3 linked regions of the Stegostoma tigrinum genome follow. Each later gene encodes a partner of the first gene's protein in a complex. Links are inferred from orthologs where the notes say so. Each region holds a gene or a part of one and is shown in the gene's direction. Other genes may lie near its edges. The genes, in order: kcnd3, Kv channel-interacting protein 2 and Kv channel-interacting protein 1.

Region 1 (7,621 bases):
GATGCTCCTGTTTTTCATGTTCCTCTACTTCTAAAAGGGTTATATTATGAGGACAATTTGCATTGACTGAGTCACATTTCCTTGGGTATAAAATATTAAGAGGCAATCTAAATGAGGTGTTTAGGATGAGTAAATGTTTTGAAGTGTAGATGGAGAGAAATTATTTCTCTGCCAGGGCAGAACAAGGAGGCCTAATCATAAAAATTAAAGTCAGGCCTTTCATCAGTAGCTTCCAGAAATGCTGTTCTCCCCACAAGAGTGAGTCAAAATCAACAACTCTTCTCTTTAAATACTATGACATGGGGGATCAATTTAAAATGTTAGAACAGAGTTTGGGAGATTTCTTGGACAATGACTTTAAGGATGACAGAACCAAGGCAGCTTAAGAACATTAACATGCATCTAAGCCACGATCTAACTAAATGGGCCAAATAGTGTTCTTCTGTTCCTATGTGCCACATGCAGGAGAATATTTCAGTGGAACATTGAGCAATTAACAATGACACTTGCTCACTCAATCCCAGGGGGCTTCAATGATCTATCACCTGTTTGGAGACCACCTTCTGATGGTAACAATGAATCATATTATTCCAGGTTGTAGCAGTGAGATGGTGAAACTATCCCACCAGGACTCCCCAAATCAATCCTATGTCATACCCTTTCCCTGATACCTCAACTGCTCCAAGTGAAACAAAAATAGAAATTGTTGGTGAAACTCAGCAGGTCTGACAGCATTTGTGGGAAGAAAGCAGAGTCAACATTTTGAGTCTACTGACCCTTCATCAATGAATCCTAGTCAACCCTGTCACTGTTACCGTAATATATGAAACATTTAGAGCAATGGTGGGAATTTTGTAATTCCCTATGAGTAATACATAGCTACAGCAGCATTATCTCAGCCTTCTGAATAGAGATGAGCTGGGCCTTGGGTACTTTGGTTAGCTCAATTGTCTAATTGGCAGGTTTACAATACAGTGTGATACCAACATTGTACTGGCTGAGGTTCCCATAAAGGAGCTTCCCTCTCAACTTCTCTCTTTATCTGAGGTGTGTGACTCTTAGGTTAAGTGGTAACCAGCTGTTCTACTCCCTCATGAGGAACCAGAATCTGATGATTTTATCCTTTACTGGAGTTGACCATCAACGTTTGTTAAGTTTCAATTGCCTTTTATCCTGTCACTCCTGCAAGCTATATAATATTTTCATTCCATCCCCATCATTATAAACCGCAGGCACCAACAGCCCCACCCTCACCAATTTTCTAAAGTATGTAAATTCCATGAACAGAACTCCAGTTTCTGAGACCCACTTGTTTGAGAGTATTATGAACAAGGGGAAGGCTCACTGTTGGACCCAGTTCCAATTCACAGTCGATAAGGGAAGCTTGCCTTAATCCCTGCACTCTGTTTAATGGCCACCTATCAATTCATTCCACTAGCTGATTGCTGAATCAATGTTCCCTGATTTTCATCATGGGTCTGTTACACAGCACTTTATCAAAGATGTATTCAAAGTCCATTATTATAAAGGAAGCAAGAGTTTCTTGAACTTTCTTTAAGAGTTGCTGGGGGCTGATTTTCAGCAGCACATTTCAGGAATTGCCAGTCTTCAGAGTTGGAGCCTTTGGCTGAATCACTGGCTTCGCCCCATTTAACATAAAACAATGCCTTGCTGAAGGAGTCAAAGCCTGCAGTAAGACTGATCATTTGTAGGCATTTTCTAACCAATTTGTTCAGTCATGTTACAACACCTCTGGGGAAGGCTGACACTAAAACATAGAACTCCTGGCCAGGAGATAGGAGCATTACCATTACTCCACAGAGTCCCTCTTTATCTATTCACTAGAGCTACCTGTTTTACATAGATACTGTCCATACTCTAAGAATCTGATGACAGTGACCATTAGTTTTGCAAAAAACAAAGTGTGAAGCAACTTTCAGTATGGTCTGTATGGAGGGAGTCATCGCCTGGGGTTACCTGTTACACAGTTAACACAGCACCTTGGCCATCTCATGGCCAGTCTGGAAATCAATGCTTGACCCCACCACTGCCTGATCCCAGCCCAGACACCGTTCCCCTATCACCAAATCACTGATCGCTGGGGCTGCGTAGTTAAAGTGAAGAGAATCTTGAACATAAAATGTTTAATTCAAAATGCAATTGGTATTCATGCATTTGAACAGGTTGAATAATGAGTTATTACATTGAAACTTAAACTTCTAATAAGACCGTATGCAAATTGCACTAGATTCTAAAATACTTAAAAGAGAAGCATTTTACATTAATGTTGCATCACTACATGGGCTCTGAAAGTTACCAAGTTCATTTACATCCCCAAATCATTCTTTCCCAGATAGAGTCATCCCATGCGGAAATGGAGCTGTCAGTCCAAACAGTCCATGCCAACGATAATCCCAAATTTGAGGTTAATTTTCCAGATTAGTGGGCCAGCACATTTCCATACTCTCACTGATTTGTCATGCAAATGGTAATAGTTCATCAGAACCAAAGGGTATTTGCAAACAGTCTCTCCCTTCAATGTTCAGGTTTCAACACATACAATTATCAGCCAATATAAATAATCGGTTGTGAACAATTCTTTGGCCATCTTTAAAATTTGCTCTCCCAGAAATAGGAGTTCATTCAGCCCTTCGAGTCTGCTCTGCTGTTCAATATGAACATGGCTGATCATCTAACTCAGCCCCCTGTTTGCGCTTTCATCCCATAATCTTTGATCCCTTTAGCCCTAAGCACAATATCTAAATCCTTGAAAACATTCAATGTTTTGGCCTCAACCACTTTCTGTGGCAAAGAATTCCACAGGCTCCGCACTCTCCGAGTGAAGAAATTCCTCCTCATCTCAATCTTACCTGGCCCACCCCATATACTTAGGCTGTGACCCCTCGTTCTGGATATCCTGGTCATCAATAACATCCCTCCAGCACTAAACCTGTCTCGTGTCAGAAGCAACTTTCCATGAGATCCTTCCTCAGAGTTCTAAATCCAGTGGATGAAGCTCTAAGCGATCCAGTCTCCCTGTACGTTTCAATCTTTTAACAAATCAGTATCTCCTTTCCATTCACTTCCAATCGATTGCCTGCTTGTTCATGAGTTTGGAAACCACAGGGAAGTTTGAAAAATGAGAAGGTGAGGTAGAACATCACAGAGAAAGCGGGCTGACTAAGTTCGGGATTGTCATTTAGCATTGGGGAGAGCTCGGCTGCAGTTTTTGAATGGAGGCTGCGCCATCTAGCTATGTGAAAGGAACCACTCACAACCCATTCGTCACAATAAAAAAAAGTTAGTTAACTCAACTCAGCAACACATTATAGTCCCTGTAGCACCTGCCAAACAAAATCAAAATAGCCCGCTTTTGGAACGACTCCAGCCCGGCCGCTAATGTTCAGCATTTGATATTGACAAGACACGGAAAGAGAAAGGGAAACACTGAGATCTCTAAACAGCTGATTGTGGGGAGTTTTTTCTGCGCTGCAACCCGTCCCCTGCTCCCAACACTTTGCCAATTTATTTCAGATTTTCAAAATTCCTCTTAGGCTTAATCCCCAGGTTTAATCGTCCGTTATGTGTCGTTTTGCTTTGCCCTAGGAAAGTTTTTTTTTCTTACGCTACTTAGGACAACATTAAACACACACACCACAGCTGTAGGAAAACTGAACTGATGATTCTGGAAGCAGTGTGTCAAGAGAGAACTCAGTGGTGAAGTTTCCTGTGCCCTCTATGATACCTGCTTGAGTTTTTTTATTGCAATCCCCCCCCCCCCCCCGACACAGGCCAGAAACATTGCACCTCACAAATTAATACGTGCCCACCCCACTTCACACGCACGCATAGTGGTTGGAGGCCTGGATGGTCTCTGAGGGACAGTGTTCGCAGTCAATAGCACAATGGGGAGAGGTCCTGCACTGGGTCGGACTGGAGGTAACGACAGCGAGCCGCTGTGTATTTAACCCAGCATCTCCCAGCGCGGACAGCAACGCTTTCTTTCTACAAGTGTGAGACACGTGCCAATAAATAGTTTGCCCGCATGGAGTGCCTTCAGAAACTGGTGGCGGTCTTTCGCCTCTGAATCGTTCTGGGGGCCAATTTAGTGCGCCCCCCCCCCACCACCCCAGACCCATGCAAACCTCCCATGAGCAGCACCCAGAAATGGCCAGCCAGCTGCGTCATGGCTAACTGGGAGTCCCCGGACCCAGTGAAGGTCAGTTTAAACCTCTGTCTCTGCTCCCCCACCTCCACCCCCTCCCAACTTTCCATATTCCCCGGGGCGCCGTGCTGTTGCATCTTCCCACTGAACCTTGCTTTATTTGAGAGTTAGCCCATGAGCAAGCCTAGCGTCTCTAGGTTCCTCTGGAGACAATACGACGTGCAGGGGGTGGGGGTGTTGGCGCGGGGGTGGGGGGGGGGTGTGCACGGGATTGATTCTACGCCCAGCAATCAGGTAACATGTTGTGCTTTGTAAAGTCTGGATCTCTCCCCCGCCCTCTCTCTCTGTCTCTGTCATAGTACCTCTTCAGGTTCAGAAACACCGCCAGTGCCCACAGACTGTGTGTGTGTGTGTGTGTGTGTGTGTGTGTGTGAGAGAGAGAGAGAGAGAGAGCGAGAGCACTGTTCATCATCATCTGAGCTGAGACATGCCATCACCAACCCGACCCGCCTATTGTACCCACTTCCATTTATAGTAGGCAGACACAGAGACGGAGAGAGACAGAGGGAAAGGCAATAAGTCAAACATATGCAAACACTAACAACAAAAGGTGAAAGCTGGTTCCCGAAGCCCTCCGAGAGAGAAGCCGGGGGGTGCATTGAGCTAAGAGCAGCCACACAGAGAGAGCCCTCAGACTTCCCAATCTCTACTCGCCTCCTTCGTTACTGCGGGATTTACCTGCCGCTTTCAGCAGGAGGCCGTTCCATTTTTGTTGTTGTTGGTGTTGTTGTTTTCGGATTCTTTCTCTCCTTTGGAATAAGAATTGTCCTGGTCAGCAGGAGCGGGGAGCCTCGCTGCTGCTGTTGCTGAGGTAAGCTGCTGGGTATCCGGACCGGGAGGGAGGGAGGGAAGTTGGGTGGTCGGGGTGGGGGGTGTGGGTATGGGGGGTGTCGGCTAGAATAAGATGCTCCTCTCCAAACTTTCTCACTTCCCTGTCACAGGGACCCTGCTGTAAGTTTAAACTTGCCTTGCGGATTTAATTCAAATGCCTAAGTAGAGCAGTTGCTACACAGCCATGTTGCCCCCTTCCCTAAGTCTGACGGGCTTTTTCTCATATTGTTGAAAGTGATTTTTTTTATTGAGAGAATGTATTTGTCTGGTTGAAAATACTCCCAGAGTCGGATATTCTCTATCACTTTCCCATTCAGTTTATTCTCTCATCAACGGGATGTCCGTCCTTCAAATACAGCAGAGCTGAGAGTGGGACAGAAAAACAGACGCCAGCCCTTCAGAGAATAGAATATCTCCCTCTCTCTCCCTTCATCTCTCTCACACTCCTACCCCCTCCCTTTCCCACTCCTCTCTCCCTCTCCCACCCACTCCCTCTCCCTCCCTCTCTTCCCTCTCTTCCCTCTCCTACTCCCTCCTTCTCCCTCCCTCTCCAACTCCACTCCCACTCCCTCCTTCTCCTACTCCCTATTCCACTCCTCCCTCTCCCACTCCCTTTCTTTCGTCCCTCTCCCTCTCCCAGTCCCTCCCTTTCCCTCCCTCTCCCTCAATACATTCCCCAGCAATAGGGATGAGAGTCACCTGCACCATTTACTGGGAACCTGTTTGCCAGCTGAGTGGGGGTCTGTAATGATTGTGGGCTGGTTTATGAATTTTTTTTATTCCAGTTTATCTACTGTTTCTACCAGGCAGGAGGACTCCTGAAACAAGTGAGAGTTGGACACAGTGACAATGCCTGAGTGAGATGTACTGGTGAACACTAGTCCCCTCTCCTGGAAACCACTCTCTGCTTTTCCCTTGCAGATGTCGCCGAGCACCCAGAGAAGGTGCTGCCCTCTGTAGCCACCCCAGTCCGGACTAGCCATGGCAGCCGGGGTCGCGGCCTGGCTGCCCTTTGCCCGGGCTGCTGCCATAGGATGGATGCCAGTGGCCAACTGCCCCATGCCCCTTGCCCCAGGAGACAAGAATAAGAAACAGGATGAACTCATCATCCTCAATGTGAGTGGCAGGCGCTTCCAAACATGGAAAAACACCCTGGAGAGATTCCCAGACACCTTACTGGGCAGCACAGAAAAGGAGTTCTTCTTCCATGAAGAAACTAAGGAATATTTCTTTGACCGGGACCCTGACATCTTCAGGAACGTGTTGAATTTTTACAGGACGGGCAAGTTGCACTACCCAAGGCATGAGTGCATCTCAGCCTATGATGAAGAGCTGGCCTTCTTTGGCATCATCCCGGAGATTATTGGAGACTGCTGTTATGAAGAGTACAAGGACCGGAAGAGGGAGAATGCTGAGAGATTGATGGATGATAGTGACTCAGAGAACAAAGCGGAGGGTAACCTTCCGTCCCGAACCTGCCGCCAGACCATGTGGAGAGCCTTTGAAAACCCTCACACCAGCACCTTAGCGTTAGTCTTCTATTATGTGACTGGCTTCTTCATTGCCGTGTCAGTGATCACCAATGTGGTGGAGACTGTGCCCTGCGGCATTGGCCCTGGCGATGACAAAGACCTGCCCTGCGGGGAGAGGTACGTGGTGGCTTTTTTCTGCCTGGACACGGCCTGCGTGATGATCTTCACGGTCGAATACCTCCTCCGGCTCTTCGCTGCCCCCAGCCGCTACCGGTTCATGAGGAGCGTGATGAGCATCATTGACGTGGTGGCCATCATGCCTTATTACATTGGCCTGGTGATGACCAACAACGAAGATGTGAGTGGAGCCTTTGTCACTCTGCGGGTGTTTCGCGTGTTCCGGATTTTCAAGTTTTCTCGCCATTCCCAAGGTCTGAGGATCCTCGGCTACACTTTGAAGAGCTGTGCCTCTGAACTCGGGTTCCTCCTCTTCTCGCTCACCATGGCCATCATCATTTTTGCTACTGTGATGTTCTATGCTGAAAAAGGGTCAACACACAGCAAGTTTACAAGTATTCCCGCCTCTTTCTGGTACACCATTGTCACCATGACAACACTGGGGTAAGTCTCAAGGTTTTTACTTTCTACACTCAACCCCACCCCCATCCCGTTATTCTGATAAAGAGGTCCCAAACTCTCCCTTTCTGTGTGCGAGGACTGGTTCGCTTGAAGACTTCAATAAAGCCATTAGCCAGAAAAGTGGATTTTTAACAAATACCGCGCCACCACCGCCCCCGCCCCCCAGACCGGCATTTGCTTTACAAAGTAATCTCAAATTAATATATGATAACATCGCCTTTATTATTTAATAGCAAAGGGCAAAGCGTTGAAAGTAGAAAAGGGATTAATTAAATATCGTTTCAGCTCCAGATTAGGCATTGAACTTTCATGATTTGACGAGCAGCCTGGACGTCTATAATTACATTCACGGAATTAACTCTGTTTAATCCCCTTTTCTAAGGAGTACCAGACATTGCCAACAGTTGCTACATTTCACACGGAGACAGAGAGGCAGCACCAGATATTAATTTTT
Region 2 (7,521 bases), on another chromosome or scaffold:
CACTGCTGCCACCTAGTGTTGGTGGTGAAGAGAGTGAATGTTGTAGCTGGTACACACTGCTGCCACCTAGTGTTGGTGGTGAAGAGAGTAAATGTTGTAGATGGTGAATGACGTGCCAGTCAAGTGTGTAGTGTTTTAGAACATAGAACAGTACAGCACAGAACAGGCCCTTCAGCCCGTTTTCTGGATTCATGTTGTACCTCTTGAGTGTTATTGTAATCTTAGGGACAGCACTGAGCTGATTGGCATCCAACAAAGATTTTTATTTTTGATAGGTATGTTTCCAGGCACTGAATCATTTTTCCTCTGATTTCCATTGACGCTAATTTTGTTCAGGCTCCTGGATGCTACGCTTGTTCAAACACTGCCTTGATGTCAGCTTCACCTCCCCTTTGGTGTTAACAGCTTTCGTGTCCTTGCTTGGATCAGGTTAGTAATGAGGAGCTGAGCAGGTCTGTTGGGACCCACACTGAGCAGGCGAAAGTTATCCTCATACTTCATTGCCTCAGAGTTAAAAAACAACTGAGACAGTGAGAGTTTAACAGATCACAGAAACCCTTCAGTGTTCGGGGAAGGCCATCTGTCCCACTGAATCCACACTGTCCCTCCGAAGAGCATCCCACCCACCTTACCTGCATATCTTTGGACTGTGGTAGGAAATTGGAACAAACCCACACAGACCCAGGGAGAATGTGCAAACTGTACACAGACAGTTGCCTGAGGGTGGCGTTGAACCTAGGTCCTTAGCGCTGTGAAGTAGCAATGCTAATCACTGAGCCACCATGCCACTCCAATCCACCCCCTGTTTCGGGCCATTCATCCCCATGGAAGATACTGAATTTTTTACAGCCTGTAATTTGTGAAGTGTAGCCACTGTTGTCATGGGGGAAATGCAGCAGCCAAATTATGCACAGCAAGATCCCACAATCCTAAGTAATCCATTTCCACAGTGATGACATGTTGAGGAGCGTATACTGACTCGATCCTCTGCTCTTCCTTATAGTAGTGCTGTGGGTCATTTGAATCCACCTGAAAGGGACAGAGGAGCAGCTTGTTTCAGTTATACTGATGAAAATGGCCTCTCTAGTGGTGCGTCTCTCACATAACGCAGCCAGCTCCCTCAAACCACTGGAGTGGGTCTTCTCCCCACAACTCTGTCTTAGAATGCTGCTACTGGGCCCAACATAGGGCAGGACATTTGGGCTGATGTGATTTTCTAGTACAGTCAGAGCACTCCAAGACCAAACAGAATCCCAGCCTCTCGGTGATAGCAAGAACTGCAGATGGTGGAGGCTTCATCATGATTGCTGTAGGGTGTAAACTCGACTCTCCTGCTCCCCTGATCTGCTGCATTCCTCCAGCTCCACGCTGTGTTGACTCAGAACCCAAGTCTTCTTTGGAGCCAAAATAACAACATTACCAGCTGGCATTCTCCATCCAACGACACCTCTGCGATCCCAAGGCTGCGGAGGTAAAAAATGAGATTTCCCCAGATATGTCAATATTGATATCACCAGATGGCATTGCCAGTGTGCTCTCCTGAAAGTTAAACAGCTGCTCCTCATTCACAGCAGACAGCCATTGACTGACAACTCAGGAAGGATATATAAAAAAGGGGAGGCTATTCAGCTCCCCCCCCCAAGCCTGTTCTGCTATTCAACTACATTGGCACCTTCATTCTAAACACACATCTTAACTGATTAACTGAGCTGACATCTTCCACTTTCTGGGGGCTGGGTGTGGGTTCCGCATTTGTGTGAAGGCATGATCCCTGAACCACTTCCAAGGGCCTGACTCTCATCTTAAGATAATATCCGTTTCTTTGAGACTCTCCAACCAACACTTAAAGTTTCCTTCCAGCCGGGCTATCGGTTCCTTTCCAAATCAGGCTTTACTCAAATCAAACCTGAGCCCCTTATTTTCCAGTAATTCCGAGAATCAAACTTTGTTTACATTATGACAAACATTGAGGATGCTGAGGACATGAATGGAACCGAACAGCAATTATGAAGAGAGACATATCCATTTTTAATCCTTGTACACTCCTCCCTGGCCCAGGGGTGCTTGTTGAGGACAGTGTAGAGGAAGCTTTACTCTGTATTTAACCTCATGCTGTCCCTGTCCTGGGAGTGTTTGATGAGGATACTGTAGAGGGATCTTTAACCCCATGCTAAGCCTATTGCTGGGAGTGTTTGATGGAAACAACAAGTATAAAAGGAATTATAATTTCCCTGTGCCCTGTACTGTCTCCCATTTTAAGCAAACTATGAACCGTTTACATGTTAAAAGCTGGATCTTAAAATAAAGCATCACAAAGCTCTTCCTTTCACAAACGTTTCCTGTTGCCATGACACCGAGAGACTTATGGATAACTTGTTAGAGTCAATTGTTAGAGTCAATAAAACACGTTGGGAAGATTGAGGCTGGCATCAACACTTTATCATAGTAATATCCGCGAGCATGTGACTGTATGTGCGATATCTCTGACAGAGAGCGGTCTAACAGGATGTTTCAATATCAAGGGGGGAAGCACACTGCTAGGGACTGTAACTGTGAGAGTGAGAAAGTGAGAATTAGTATGTGAGAATGTGAATGACTGCGAGGGTGTGTGTGTGAAAACCTGGAGTTTGAGAAGATGAGTATGATTGAGTACGACACAATGTGAAAATGTCAGAGTGCAAGGATGAGAGAGTGTGTGTGTGTGTGTGTGTGTGTGCGCTCGAGAGAGAGTGCACGTGTGTGAGAATGTAAGAGAATAAGTGTGCGTGCACGCACAATTAGATGACAGAGCGGGTGAGAATGAAAATGAGTGAGTATGTCAGTGTGTGTGAGTGTGCACAAGTAGTTGAGAGTGTGTGTGAGTGTGCTTGTGAAAGTGACTGTGACATACACACGAGGCTACTCTGCGTGGGGACAGGTACAGAGTACGAAGCCAAGATGTTTTGCCTGTATAAAAATGTTTGAGTCCACTGTGAGTGCAGTTCCCAACTCTGAGCCCTGGCAGGATGTGTCAGTCCCTGGCTAAGGGCAGGTGCAGTGGGCATCTTCACACCTCGGAGAGTTTTACGACCTTACACAAAGCCATGATTGAGCACACATAGTTTATCATAAACACCAACTTCTATGCCTATTGAACCCATAGCAAAGCAGATGGTGAGATAGGGGGACAGGTGACCCATTTCTTTTTATTCATTCACAGGATGAGGGCATCACTGGCAAGCCAGCATTTATTCCCCTTCCCCAATTACCAGAGGGCAGCTAAGAGTCAATATTGCTGTGGGTTTGGAGTCAATGCGTAGGCCAGACCAGGTAAGGATGGCAGTTTCCCCTCCCTTAAGGGCATTAGTGAACCAATAATTGGCACAATGTCATCATTAGATACTTGAATTCAAATTCCACCATCTGCTGTGGCCATCACCTCCCCTTAAATAACTTAATCAGAGAGGAAGGTTTAAAAGACCAGATCAGAGGAAGACAAAGGTGTGGAGATTTTTAGGCAGTGACTTCCAGATAGGAGAGCACACAGGCAGCTAAAGACAAGGCCACTAAAAATGAAGAATCGGAAGAGTACAGGGATTGTAGAGATTTGTAGCGCCGGAGGAGATTATACGAAAGGGGATAGGAAGAGGCCATGGAGGGATAATTTTAGGCCAAGGCCAAGGACCAGCGTCAGTCAGCGAGCTGAGGAAAGATGGTCAAATGGGGCTTGGAGTTAGGGTATGCACAGCAGAGTTGGGGAAAGCCCTTGCAAAGACTTTGCACCTTCACAGAGAAGAGAGACGTCCATAATACAGGCAGTGTCACGGATCGGAGTCAGAATGGCACAGGGCACAACAGTGAAAGGGTGGGAGGGACATACAGTGAGGCAGAAGGCATATGTTCAATATGCAAGATATCAGTACAAAGAGGCTACAAATAGTATTAAGGAACACAGATTTTTACCTGCTCATGAGTTTTGCAGTCCTTCTTCATCTGCTGTGGATAGAAGTGTCTTGCTTTTCTTCTTCTGACACTGGGAGACCCACAGTGTACCCCCATCTCTCCTTTCTTCACAGCTCCACAGCTCCAATGCCTTTGTTTTCTTCCTTACCTGGGATCTCCTCCTCTGAAGTTGCAGGTCCAAGGTTCAGTGCTGCTCCTTGCCCTTCAGTGAGCCAGACAGTGACCTACAACAAAAGCACTCACCTTTTCTCAGGAGCAAAGAGTTTTCAGCAGAGAGGCTCCCGAAATGCCAGATCCAAGTGGGCATCACTTGACTGGCAACAGTGCTCGTTTTAACTGACATTGCCAAAGGGGAAAATCTGACTCAACCACTGAGTGTTTAAAAACACAACGTGCAGGCGCAGAAAGATTTGTAAACGATGGAACCCGCCCTCTCATCTTTGACAGTTCAGTTTATCAGGTTCTCTCACTGTGTCTGTCATCCTAACTCTCTGTGTATGTTTCTCACCGTAAATCCCACAAAATCCACTGCTTCCCCGTGACTCTCCTGTGCGTGTTCCTGTCTCTGTCTCCCGCTGTGAGTCTTTTCCCCCACCTCCCTGTTTCGTTCTGTGACTCTCACTCTGTTTGTCTGTCTCTGTCTCTCTGCCTTTGTGTCTGTCGCTGAGTCACCCATTCCATCTGTGTCAACTCTGCATCTCTTACTATCTACATATCTCTCTCTCTGCCTCTGTTTTCTCACTCTCTTTGCATCGCACTCTGTGATTCTCACTGTTTATCTCTCAGTGTCTTGTAGCCCAATCTGTCTTTTCATTCTGTGTGAATGAATCATTCTGTCTCTCAGTCTGTGCCTCTTACCCTGTTAATGACTTGTGCCTTTATGTTCGTATAATTTTCCATCTCTTGTGGCTCTGCGTCCATCTCCTGCTGCCCCACGAAAAATCCCAAACCAGATGACAGAAGGCAGTCGAGATGGTTTTAAATACGGACTGGGAGTCGGAGGGATTGCAGACTGTAGGGATTGTCTTTCTGGCTGTAAGTTCTCTGAAGCTGTTGCATTTCCTGGGACTGATTGATTTCTCCAGTGAAGGTAGGAAATGGGTGGCAGACCAAAAGTGCCCCCTCATTTATTTTTGTCTGAATTTTATTGGTTAACCTAGTCTAAGGTTCTTGAAGACTCTAAATTTGTAAACGATAGCTTAATTGCTAACTCTGATGGGAGACAAACACAAAGTCTATCATGCAGTCCCTGTCTGATCAGACTGGGGCTAAAAAAACAAGTGAGGAAATTGAGGTTAATTAGTTACAGCAGAAAAAGAACTACAGCCCAATTTGAGGGATTAAAAACTGACAAATCCCCAGGCCCTAATGGCCTACATTTGAGATTTTTAAAAGAGGTCGCTGCAGAGAAAGTAGATTCACTGGCGGATTGATAGTTAGCAAACATAACACTGTTATCTAAGGAAGGGGGCTGGAGAGAAAATAGGGAACTGCAGCTATATTATCCTGACATTAGTCCTTGGGGGAAAAAATGTGTTGGAATCAATTTTACATTCATGTGCTTGTGCACTAGCTCGGGCGTATGAGGTTGGCAGTTCGTCTTCTGATGCTTCATTGCCAGCCTGAGGTGCTTCTGGTCAGTCTCAAAGAAAGGGCAGATTTAGGTTTTACTACAACAGAATTGGGAATGAATCAGCAATATTCTAAAATACACGCTTGCCATTGATTCTAACCAACCCCCAATCTATTGTGAAGAAGGTCCTGACAATGGGCTTAGAAAAGCATAGTATGTTCGTACAAAGTTTTAAGAAAGAAAGGTCAAATTTAATTAATGAATTGTATGTTTTTGAGCAAATATTTAATTGGATTAATAGAGGGAACCAGTAAATGTGGTCTCCAAAGGCATACGATATAAGGTGCCACTCAAACAATTAATACGCTACGCATGAGCTCAAGGAGTTGGGTGTGATATATTAACAAGGAAAGCAGATTGCTCAACAAAGAGTAGGGATACATGGAGCCTGTTCATGTTGGCTGATAGTGGAGTGCCAGCACGAGGGTCAGTCATGGAGCCTCAGTCAATTTCAATCTTTATTAATGGTTTGAATGGGCAGAGGGTAATGTGCCCAAACTGGCTGATGATTCAAACTAGGGGCAGTATACATTGTGGGGAGAACACAAAGACACTGCAAAGACGTGTTGACAGATTAAGCACGTGTGCAATGAGGTAATAGATGGAGTATAATTTGGAGAAATGTGAGGTTATTCACTTTGAAAAGGTGTGAAAGTTCACACATCGACACTCAGAGAGACTTGGGTATTCTAGTGCACTGGCAAAGTGCAGCATTCTCACAAACCCTTGGGAATCACTGGCCCAAGACCATCCAGAGTGGAGGAGGGGCATCCGGGAAAACATTGAGCACCTCGAGACTTGCCGTCAGGAAGAAATGGAAACTGAGCGAAAGGAGTGCACCGCCACAATACCCCACCCACTCCCTGTGAGCACCACCTGCCCCAAGTGTAACAGAGCCTGCAGTAGCTGCGTTGGTCTGTACAGTTACCTACAGACTTATCCTCATCTGTGAAGAATCACCAATAATGATGATGATTGTTGTACAAGGTATACAGACAGACAGCACACAGGCACAACATGGGGAGACAATGGCCTAGTGGTATTATCGCTGGACTGTTAATCGAGAGACGCAGATAACATTCTGGGGACCTGGGTTTTTACTCCCACCAGGGCAGTTGGTGGCATTTGAATTCAATTTAAAAAACTGGAATTAACAGTCCAACGATGACCATGAATCCATTGTCGATTGTCAGGAAAACCCCGTCTGGTTCACAAATGCTCTTTAGGAAAGGAAAATGCCATCCTTACCTGGCCTGACCTACATGTGACTCCAGACCCACAGTAGTGTGGTTGACTCTCAACTGCCCTCTGGGTAACTGAGATGGGCAATGAATACTGCCCAATCAGTGATGTCCTCATCTCATGAAAGAATAAAGGAACAAGCAATTGGGAAGGTAGATGGCATATTGGCCTTTTTTGCAAGTGGCTTGAAGTACGTGAAAGAAGTTTTGTTATAATTGTACAGGGTCTTGCTGAGCTCACAGCCGGAGTACCGTGTGATTTATTACATATTTAAGGATGAATGCACTTGCATTGGAGATGGCACAGAGATGATTCAATAGTTTGGGTGCATTTACTCAGGTGAGAAGTTGCCAGGTCACCCCTGAAGAAAGCAAGTTTATTTCTCATCAATGATAGTAAACTTTGACTTTTAATTAGTGTGAACGAGTCACTTGCAAACAGGAGGAAGAAGAAAATTGAGAAGCAAACCCTGTGGATGGGGACCACCTGCCTAATCATCCAGCTTTCCCTTCACACGTAACACGCATGTTTTGTGTGTGTGTGTGTGTGTGTGTGTGTGTGTGTGTGTGTGTGTGTGTGTGTATCTGGGGGGGAGCAGTTTTTAAATGGGTTAGAACTTTAACAAGGGATATATTCATTCAAGTCATCAGTGGCTAGGCCAGTCCTTGTTGCCCATCCCTAATTGCTAAAGATCAGTTAAGGGT
Region 3 (7,572 bases), on another chromosome or scaffold:
TTGGGAAGCGAGAAATGCAATTGCTTCGCCACTTGCGAAGATCTTTGCATCCTCGCTCTCCACTGGAGTCGTACCTGAGGACTGGAGAGAGGCAAATGTAATTCCTCTCTTCAAGAAAGGAAATAGGGAAATCCCCGGCAATTATAGACCGGTAAGTCTCACGTCTGTCGTCTGCAAGGTGTTAGAATGGATTCTGAGGGATAAGATTTATGACCATCTGGAAGAGCATGGCTTGATCAAATACAGTCAACACGGCTTTGTGAGGGGTAGGTCATGCCTTACAAACCTTATCGAGTTTTTTGAGGATGTGACTAGTAAGGTTGATGAGGGTCGAGCTGTGGATGTGGTGTATATGGACTTCAGTAAGGCATTTGATAAGGTTCCCCATGGAAGGCTCATTCAGAAGGTCAGGAGGAATGGGATACAGGGGAACTTAGCTGCTTGGATACAGAATTGGCTGGCCAACAGAAGACAGCGTGTGGTAGTAGAAGGAAAATATTCTGCCTGGAAGTCAGTGGTGAGTGGGGTTCCACAGGGCTCTGTCCTTGGGCCTCTACTGTTTGTAATTTTTATTAATGACTTGGACGAGGGAATTGAAGGATGGGTCAGCAAGTTTGCAGACGACACAAAGGTCGGAGGTGTCGTTGACAGTGTAGAGGGCTGTTGTAGGCTGCAGCGGGACATTGACAGGATGCAGAGATGGGCTGAGAGGTGGCAGATGGAGTTCAACCTGGATAAATGCGAGGTGATGCATTTTGGAAGGTCGAATTTGAAAGCTGAGTACAGGATTAAGGATAGGATTCTTGGCAGCGTGGAGGAACAGAGGGATCTTGGTGTGCAGATACATAGATCCCTTAAAATGGCCACCCAAGTGGACAGGGTTGTTAAGAAAGCATATGGTGTTTTGGCTTTCATTAACAGGGGGATTGAGTTTAAGAGTCGTGAGATCTTGTTGCAGCTCTATAAAACTTTGGTTAGACCGCACTTGGAATACTGCGTCCAGTTCTGGGCGCCCTATTATAGGAAAGATGTGGATGCTTTGGAGAGGGTTCAGAGGAGGTTTACCAGGATGCTGCCTGGACTGGAGGGCTTATCTTATGAAGAGAGGTTGACTGAGCTCGGTCTCTTTTCATTGGAGAAAAGGAGGAGGAGAGGGGACCTAATTGAGGTATACAAGATAATGAGAGGCATAGATAGAGTCGATAGCCAGAGACTATTTCCCAGGGCAGAAATGGCTAGCACGAGGGGTCATAGTTTTAAGCTGGTTGGTGGAAAGTATAGAGGGGATGTCAGAGGCAGGTTCTTTACGCAGAGAGTTGTGAGAGCATGGAATGCGTTGCCAGCAGCAGTTGTGGAAGCAAGGTCATTGGGGTCATTTAAGAGACTGCTGGACATGTATATGGTCACAGAAATTTGAGGGTGCATCCATGAGGATCAATGGTCGGCACAACATTGTGGGCTGAAGGGCCTGTTCTGTGCTGTACTGTTCTATGTTCTATGTTCTATGTAACTGTACTGCTCCCATTCTCTGGCCATAAAGATTCATCAAAGAAAGTGCTAAACAAGGATGTGGAACATCCTGTTCCCATGACAACTCGACTTTAAAGCAGCAGTGGTTTTCCAGTACAATGAACCTGAGTTATTGATGACGATTTCATTCTGTGTAGTAGTGTTCAGTAAGTATAGAACTGACAGCATCCATTGAAGTCAGAGCTGTCATTGACTGTTTGTGAAGACACTACAATGGAGTTTCCTCCACTACCATCCACCCAAACTCTGCAGATGTGACTGCGAGTGGCTTTGGACAAAGTGATTGTCAGCCTCTTACTTAATCTTGTTGTGTGGCATTGGGAAACCAAAAAAGGCTGTTCTCAATATTAGTGCCCCATTCAGGTCAAAGAGGGTCAGTGTTGCAGTTCAAATGTGTATTAAATAGCAATCGCAAAATGCACAGTTTTAGCGGGTGGACATTTGAGCTGTCTAGTGATTGGAAAACCTGCCAGTAGAGGATTTGATTCTTCCTGTGGTCAATGCCCTTTCTCCACACTTCCTGAACACTGAGGGGAAAAAAGAGTACTTTTTTTGATGTTGATAGGGGATATGGCAGGCACTATCCAGACATGCAATTATTGTCCAACCCTCTCGATATGGGGTGGTGAGCTGCCTTCTTGAACCACTGTAGCTTTTGTGATAAATTCACTACACTGTTATGAAGGGAGCTCCAGGATTTTGACCCAGTAACAGTGAAGCCTAATTTGATGCTGTAAAATGCTTCCACTTTTGATCATTTTGTCGGACTGTAGCTGTTTGATACAACTGAATGGCTTGCCAGGCCAATTTGGAGGACATTTGAGACTAAAACACATCACTGTGGGTGTGGAGTCACGTGTAGGCCAGGTTGGGTAGGGATGGCAGATTTCTTTCACTAATACCTAAGATTGTGTTTTTATAACTATTGGCAGTGGTTACAGGGTCACCATGAGGCTATCTGCTATGATAGAATTCAGCCCATATCCCTGACATATTAGCCTGGAGCACTTGATTACCAGTCCAGTGACATCACTACTGTGCCACCACCTTCTGCAAGCATTGCTACCCATTATATAAATGATCCACTACATAACATATCCCACTTTGCATCACATCCTACTATACAACCCACACTTATACAACTCACCTATAATGCAACCCACCCATTATACAACCCACCCATTATATAACACACGTATTATACAATCTAACCATTAATGAATACACCTACAATACTACACATCTATTATACAGCCCACTCGCTGTACAACCCACCTATTATACAAGCTACACATCATACAATCCACCCATTATGCAACACACCTACTATGCCACCCATCTATTATTCCAACCACTTAGTATACAACCAACAAATTGTACAACCCATGTTTTATATAACACATCTATTATACCACCCATCTATGATACAATGCACTCATTACATAACCCACCCTCTACATAAGCCACCCACTACGTAACCCATCCACCAGCTCAATCAGTAGCTTTTGGTGATGGACATTGTAATCTCCCATCCAAAGTACATTCTGAACCCTTCCCACCCGCAGGGTTTCCTCCAAGTGTTGTTCAACATGAAGGAGTACTAACTCATCAGCTGATAGAGGATGGAGTGTGGTAATCAGCTGGAGGTTTCCTTGCTAATATTTAACCTTATGCCATGAGACTTCACGGGGTCCTGAGTCAATACTGTGGATTCCCAGAGCATCTTCCTCCAACTGTATATCACAGTGCTGCCACCTCTGCTGGATCTGTCCTAATGGTGAGGGAGGGTAGTGATGATGGTGCCTGGGATATTGTCTGTAAGATATACAACCAAGCCATTATATCACTCACCTAGTATGACTTAGCCATTGTATCACCCACACAACATACCACCACCCAAAAAATAAACCACCTAGTACACAAAATTTTGTGTTGCCGTAGTCTGACCAGACTATATGGCTTCTTTCTCATTTGAGAGAGTTGATTAATGGTGATTTAACTGAGGGCTACCATACCTCAGATGATGAGAGAAGTTGAGAAGAGCTTTCCATTGCTTTCCAACGAAATATCCAGTGAACTGAACTAAATCAACCCCCTTTATACCTTGTAACCACTCACCCAGTTTACCACTCTCACATTTTACAACCCAACCTACAATACAAATCTCACACCTACACTGGTTAGCCCTGATGCTTCACATTGCCAGGGACCCAGGAGCGATTCCAGCCTTGGGCAACTGTCTATGTGAAGTGTACATGTTCTCCCCATGTCTGCGTGAGTTTCCTCTGGGTGCTCTGGTTTGCTCCCACCATCTAAAGATATGGGGGTTAGGTGGATTGACAATGCTAAATTGGTTCATAGTGTCCAGGAATGTGTAGGCTAGGTAGATTGACCATAGCAAAAGCAAGATTATGGAAATAGAGTGGGGGGAGTGTCTGAGTGGGATGCTGTTCAGGAGGTCACTGCAGATTTGATGGGCTGAATGGCTTCTGTCTACACTGTAGGGATTCTTTGATTCTCAGATTCCACAACCTATCCATTATACCCATTCATCGCACTTTCGCTAATTACGCAGCCATCGGTTAAACATCTGTGCATTATACATGGCCTGTAATACATTCACTCTTGAAACACCTACCTGTGAAGCACTCATGCCTATTGCACACTCATACGTTGTACACTGTGCACTGCACACTCGTATGGTACACGCCCATTTGTTATGCATTAATAGATTACACACACCTGTAACACCCTCAATTCTACAGATCTACTTATTCACCACCAGTACACAACCAGCCATGATGCATCTGCCTCTTTACACTTCCCTGTGATACACGAGTCTGCAAGATTATTGTTAGTTACACATCTGCCAATTTTGAATACGTAGGGAGAGGTGTCTCTGGAAATGGGCGGCAAGGTGGTTCAGTGGTTCGCGCTGCTGCCTCGTAGCGCCAGAGCTCACGTTCGATTCCACCCTCAGGTGACTGGCTGTATGGAGTTTGCACGTTCTCCCAGTATCTGTGCCGGTTTCCTCCAGATACTCTGGTTTTCTTCCATCATTCAAGGATGTGTGGATTAGTCTGGGAAATGTGGGGTTACAGGGTAGGGTGGTGGACCTGGATGGGGTGCGCTTCGGAGGGTTAGTGTGGTCTCGATGTGAGTTTGCTCGCTGAGCTGGAAGGTTGGTTTTCAAACGTTTCGTCACCATTCTAGGTAACATCATCAGTGAGCCTCCGACGAAGCGCTGGTGTTTTGTTCCGCTTTCTATTTATCTGTTTAGGTTAGTGTGGTCTTAATGAGCCGAATGGCCTGCTTCCACCTGTAGGGTTTCTAGGATTCAAACACTAGATGTGAAATTGGGGAAAATAACAGTATCGTGTCCGCTGTGTAATTTTTCACCAGTGTTACATTGAGTTCCGAATGAGATGTTGACATTAGTAATCTGGTCCACTCCCCAGTCCCGTGGGTCTATCACTGCCTGTGAAAGGTCTGTTTGGTATGCGTTGGTAGAGAACACAGCCTTTGGTGGTGACTACTGAGAGCTGGTGAAACACGAGAGTGCGGACAGCTACAGACAACGTTTGTTTCCGCTTCGATCTGGCGGCTGCGTCAGTCAATGTAGCTCTGTGACAGCCCACAGTGTTCAGCTGAGGGAATTGAAGTAGCCTTGAACTCACGTTGGAGGAATAACAGTGCAAAGCATTCGCAATCAATCTCACCAACACGTGTGTGTGTGTGCAAATGTGGAAGTAGCTCCAGGCGCCTGATTTTTCCGAACACACTGTGGGTCCAGCACGCCTTCACAGCTGAATGCAAAAAGGAACTGAGTACAAGAGAACGAGAAAGACATTCAGAATGGGAGCAGTGATGGGTACGTTATCCCTGCCAACAAAACAGAGGAGACATTCAAGAGGTAAGGTGCTGGAAGCAGCCACAGCCTGTGATTTGCTTCACGTCTTCATTCTCTCTGAGCGAAGGCTTGTACACTGAAGCCTGGTTTAAAGCAGGCAATCGCCCGGAATAGACGTGTGTTTCTACAGCGATAATACCTTTTGCTTGATTTCAAGTTCATTTGAAATCTTGTCGCAGCTGCAGGAATGGTAGGGAGTGTGAGCTGGCCCTTGTGCTCTTCGTACTCAAGCTGGTGTTGCAGGATGGGGCGTATCTGAAATAATTGCAGGAGGTACATAGCAATATTACTGAAACCGAACCGGAAATGTATCCGATAATAAACTAAAACTTACAAAGTGATGTACTGAAACGTAACGATTAATAGAATGAAACTTTCTGCTAACATTGTGAACACAGTCTCAGCAAGATAGAGTAAGGAATACAGTAATATAGTAGGATAACAGAAATTGCTGGAAAATCTCAACAGGTCTGCCAGTGACTTATTCAGAAATGGACAGTTATATATAGTGTCACTTATCAATAATATAATGTAATAAAATTGAAAAACAGTGTTACTTACCCAGTAGTATAGCTTCCCATTAATTTAGTGTAATCATTTCATAACGTAGTGCAACAAAACCAGCAACATTTACTTACTCCATAATATAGTGTTACAAACCTAGTAATATATAGAAAATACTCATTAACATAATGGAACACACAAAGGAATATAGTGAAATATAGTAGGATCATAGAGATGTACAGTACAGAAACAGACCTTTTGCTTTAACTCATTCATGCTGACCAGATATCCCAAATTAATCCAGTCCTATTTGCCAGTATTTGGCCCATATCCCTCTAAACCCTTCCTATTCATATACCCATCCAGATGCCTTTAAAATGTTGTAATTATGCCTGCCTCCACCACCTTCTTTGATGGCTCAATCCATTCATGCTCCACCCGCTGTGTGAAAAGTTACCCCTTTACTCCCTTTTTAATCCTTCCCCTCTCACCTTGATCCTTTGCTCTCTAGTTTTGGACTTCCTTACCCTGGGGAAAAGGCCTTGGCAGTTCACCCTATCCATGCCCCTTGTGATTTTGGAAATTTCTATAAGGCCATCCCCCAGCTTCTGATGCTCTGGGGAAAATAGCCCCAGCCTATTCAACCTCTCCCTATAGCTCAAACCCTCCAACCTTGGCAATGTCCTTGTAAATATTTTCTGAACCATTTCAAGTTTCACAATATCTTTGCTATAGCAGGGAGCCTAGAACTGAATGCAGTATTCCGACAGTGGCCCAACCAATGTCCTAGACAGCTGCAACATGACCTCCCAACTCCTATACTCAACACACTAACCAGTAAAGACAATCATACCAAACATCATCGTCACCACACTGTCAACCTGCGACCCCAGTTTCAATGAACTATCAACCTGCAACCTGTATGTTCGGCAAAACTCTCCAGGACTTTACCATTAAGTGTGCAAGTCCTGGCTTGCCAAAATGCAGCACTTCACATTTATCTAAATTAAACTCCATCTGCCGCTCCTCGGCCTATTTGCTCAACTGATCAAGGTCCTGTTGTACTCTAAGGTAACCACTATCTGCTGCACCACCAATTTTCGTATCATCTGCAAATTTATTAACTGCACCTCCAATGTTCACATCCAAATCATTTATATAAATGACAAAAAGCTATGCACTCAGCATCAATCCTTGCTGTGCACAGCTGGCCACAGGCTTCCAACCTGAAAAGCTACCCTCTACCATCACCCTCTGTCTCCTACCTTCAAGCCAATTTTGTATCCAAAATGGCTGGCTCATCCTGTATTCTCTGTGATCTAACCTGGCTAAACTGCCTACCGTGTGGAACCTTGTTGAATGCCTTAATGATGTCCATGCAGTCATCGTCCACTACTCTGCCTTCGTCTGTCTCCTTTGTCACTTCAAAAAACTCAATGAAGTTAGTGAAACACAATTTCCTACACACAAAGCCATGTTAACTATCCCTAATCAGTCCTTGCCTTTCCAAATACATGTAAATGCTGCCCCTCAGAATACCCTTCAGTGATGTGTGAACCACTGATGCCAGGTTCAGTGGTCTGTAATTCCCTGGTTTTCCTTTCCACCTTTTCTTATATAATGCCACA

What was found.
Region 2: the proteins of kcnd3 (region 1) and Kv channel-interacting protein 2 are in contact, whole or in part, in a cryo-EM structure (PDB 7W6S), measured with the Homo sapiens proteins. The link is inferred for Stegostoma tigrinum from reciprocal best matches to the Homo sapiens genes KCND3 and KCNIP2. Residues at the interface, in NP_001365898.1 of Homo sapiens: Val5, Ala7, Trp8, Leu9, Phe11, Ala12, Arg13, Ala14, Ala15, Ala16, Ile17, Gly18, Trp19, Met20, Pro21, Val22, Ala23, Asn24, Cys25, Pro26, Met27, Pro28, Leu29, Ala30, Pro31, Asp33, Trp54, Arg60; in NP_775283.1 of Homo sapiens: Arg112, Gly113, Phe114, Asn116, Glu117, Cys118, Val123, Phe128, Ile131, Tyr132, Gln134, Phe135, Phe136, Tyr144, Leu148, Phe152, Phe165, Leu169, Ile172, Leu173, Arg180, Trp183, Ala184, Leu187, Tyr188, Met201, Met205, Ile208, Met211, His228.
Region 3: the proteins of kcnd3 (region 1) and Kv channel-interacting protein 1 are in contact, whole or in part, in a crystal structure (PDB 2NZ0), measured with the Homo sapiens proteins. The link is inferred for Stegostoma tigrinum from reciprocal best matches to the Homo sapiens genes KCND3 and KCNIP1. Residues at the interface, in NP_001365898.1 of Homo sapiens: Ala6, Ala7, Trp8, Leu9, Pro10, Phe11, Ala12, Arg13, Ala14, Ala15, Ala16, Ile17, Gly18, Trp19, Pro21, Val22, Pro26, Met27, Pro28, Leu29, Ala30, Pro31, Lys34, Lys36, Arg37, Asp39, Trp54; in NP_001030009.1 of Homo sapiens: Leu67, Arg69, Gly70, Phe71, Glu74, Val80, Phe85, Ile88, Tyr89, Phe92, Phe93, Tyr101, Leu105, Phe109, Phe122, Ala125, Leu126, Leu129, Leu130, Leu138, Trp140, Thr141, Leu144, Tyr145, Ile161, Val162, Ile165, Tyr166, Met168, Met169.

Annotation. Positions count from the first base shown.
Region 1 is NC_081374.1:6,113,887-6,121,507, reverse strand, and holds the start of kcnd3 (potassium voltage-gated channel subfamily D member 3), read left to right. Parts: upstream 1-4,580; 5' UTR 4,581-5,036; intron 5,037-5,862; exon of another isoform or gene 5,863-5,977; 5' UTR 5,978-6,037; coding exon 6,038-7,149; intron 7,150-7,621. UniProt on the Homo sapiens protein: Pore-forming (alpha) subunit of voltage-gated A-type potassium channels that mediates transmembrane potassium transport in excitable membranes, in brain and heart. In cardiomyocytes, may generate the transient outward potassium current I(To).
Region 2 is NC_081373.1:13,470,090-13,477,610, reverse strand, and holds the start of Kv channel-interacting protein 2, read left to right. Parts: upstream 1-4,419; 5' UTR 4,420-4,437; exon of another isoform or gene 4,438-4,895; 5' UTR 4,896-4,914; coding exon 4,915-5,032; intron 5,033-7,521. UniProt on the Homo sapiens protein: Regulatory subunit of Kv4/D (Shal)-type voltage-gated rapidly inactivating A-type potassium channels. Modulates channel density, inactivation kinetics and rate of recovery from inactivation in a calcium-dependent and isoform-specific manner.
Region 3 is NC_081366.1:63,377,015-63,384,586, reverse strand, and holds the start of Kv channel-interacting protein 1, read left to right. Parts: upstream 1-4,492; 5' UTR 4,493-5,340; coding exon 5,341-5,443; intron 5,444-7,572. UniProt on the Homo sapiens protein: Regulatory subunit of Kv4/D (Shal)-type voltage-gated rapidly inactivating A-type potassium channels. Regulates channel density, inactivation kinetics and rate of recovery from inactivation in a calcium-dependent and isoform-specific manner.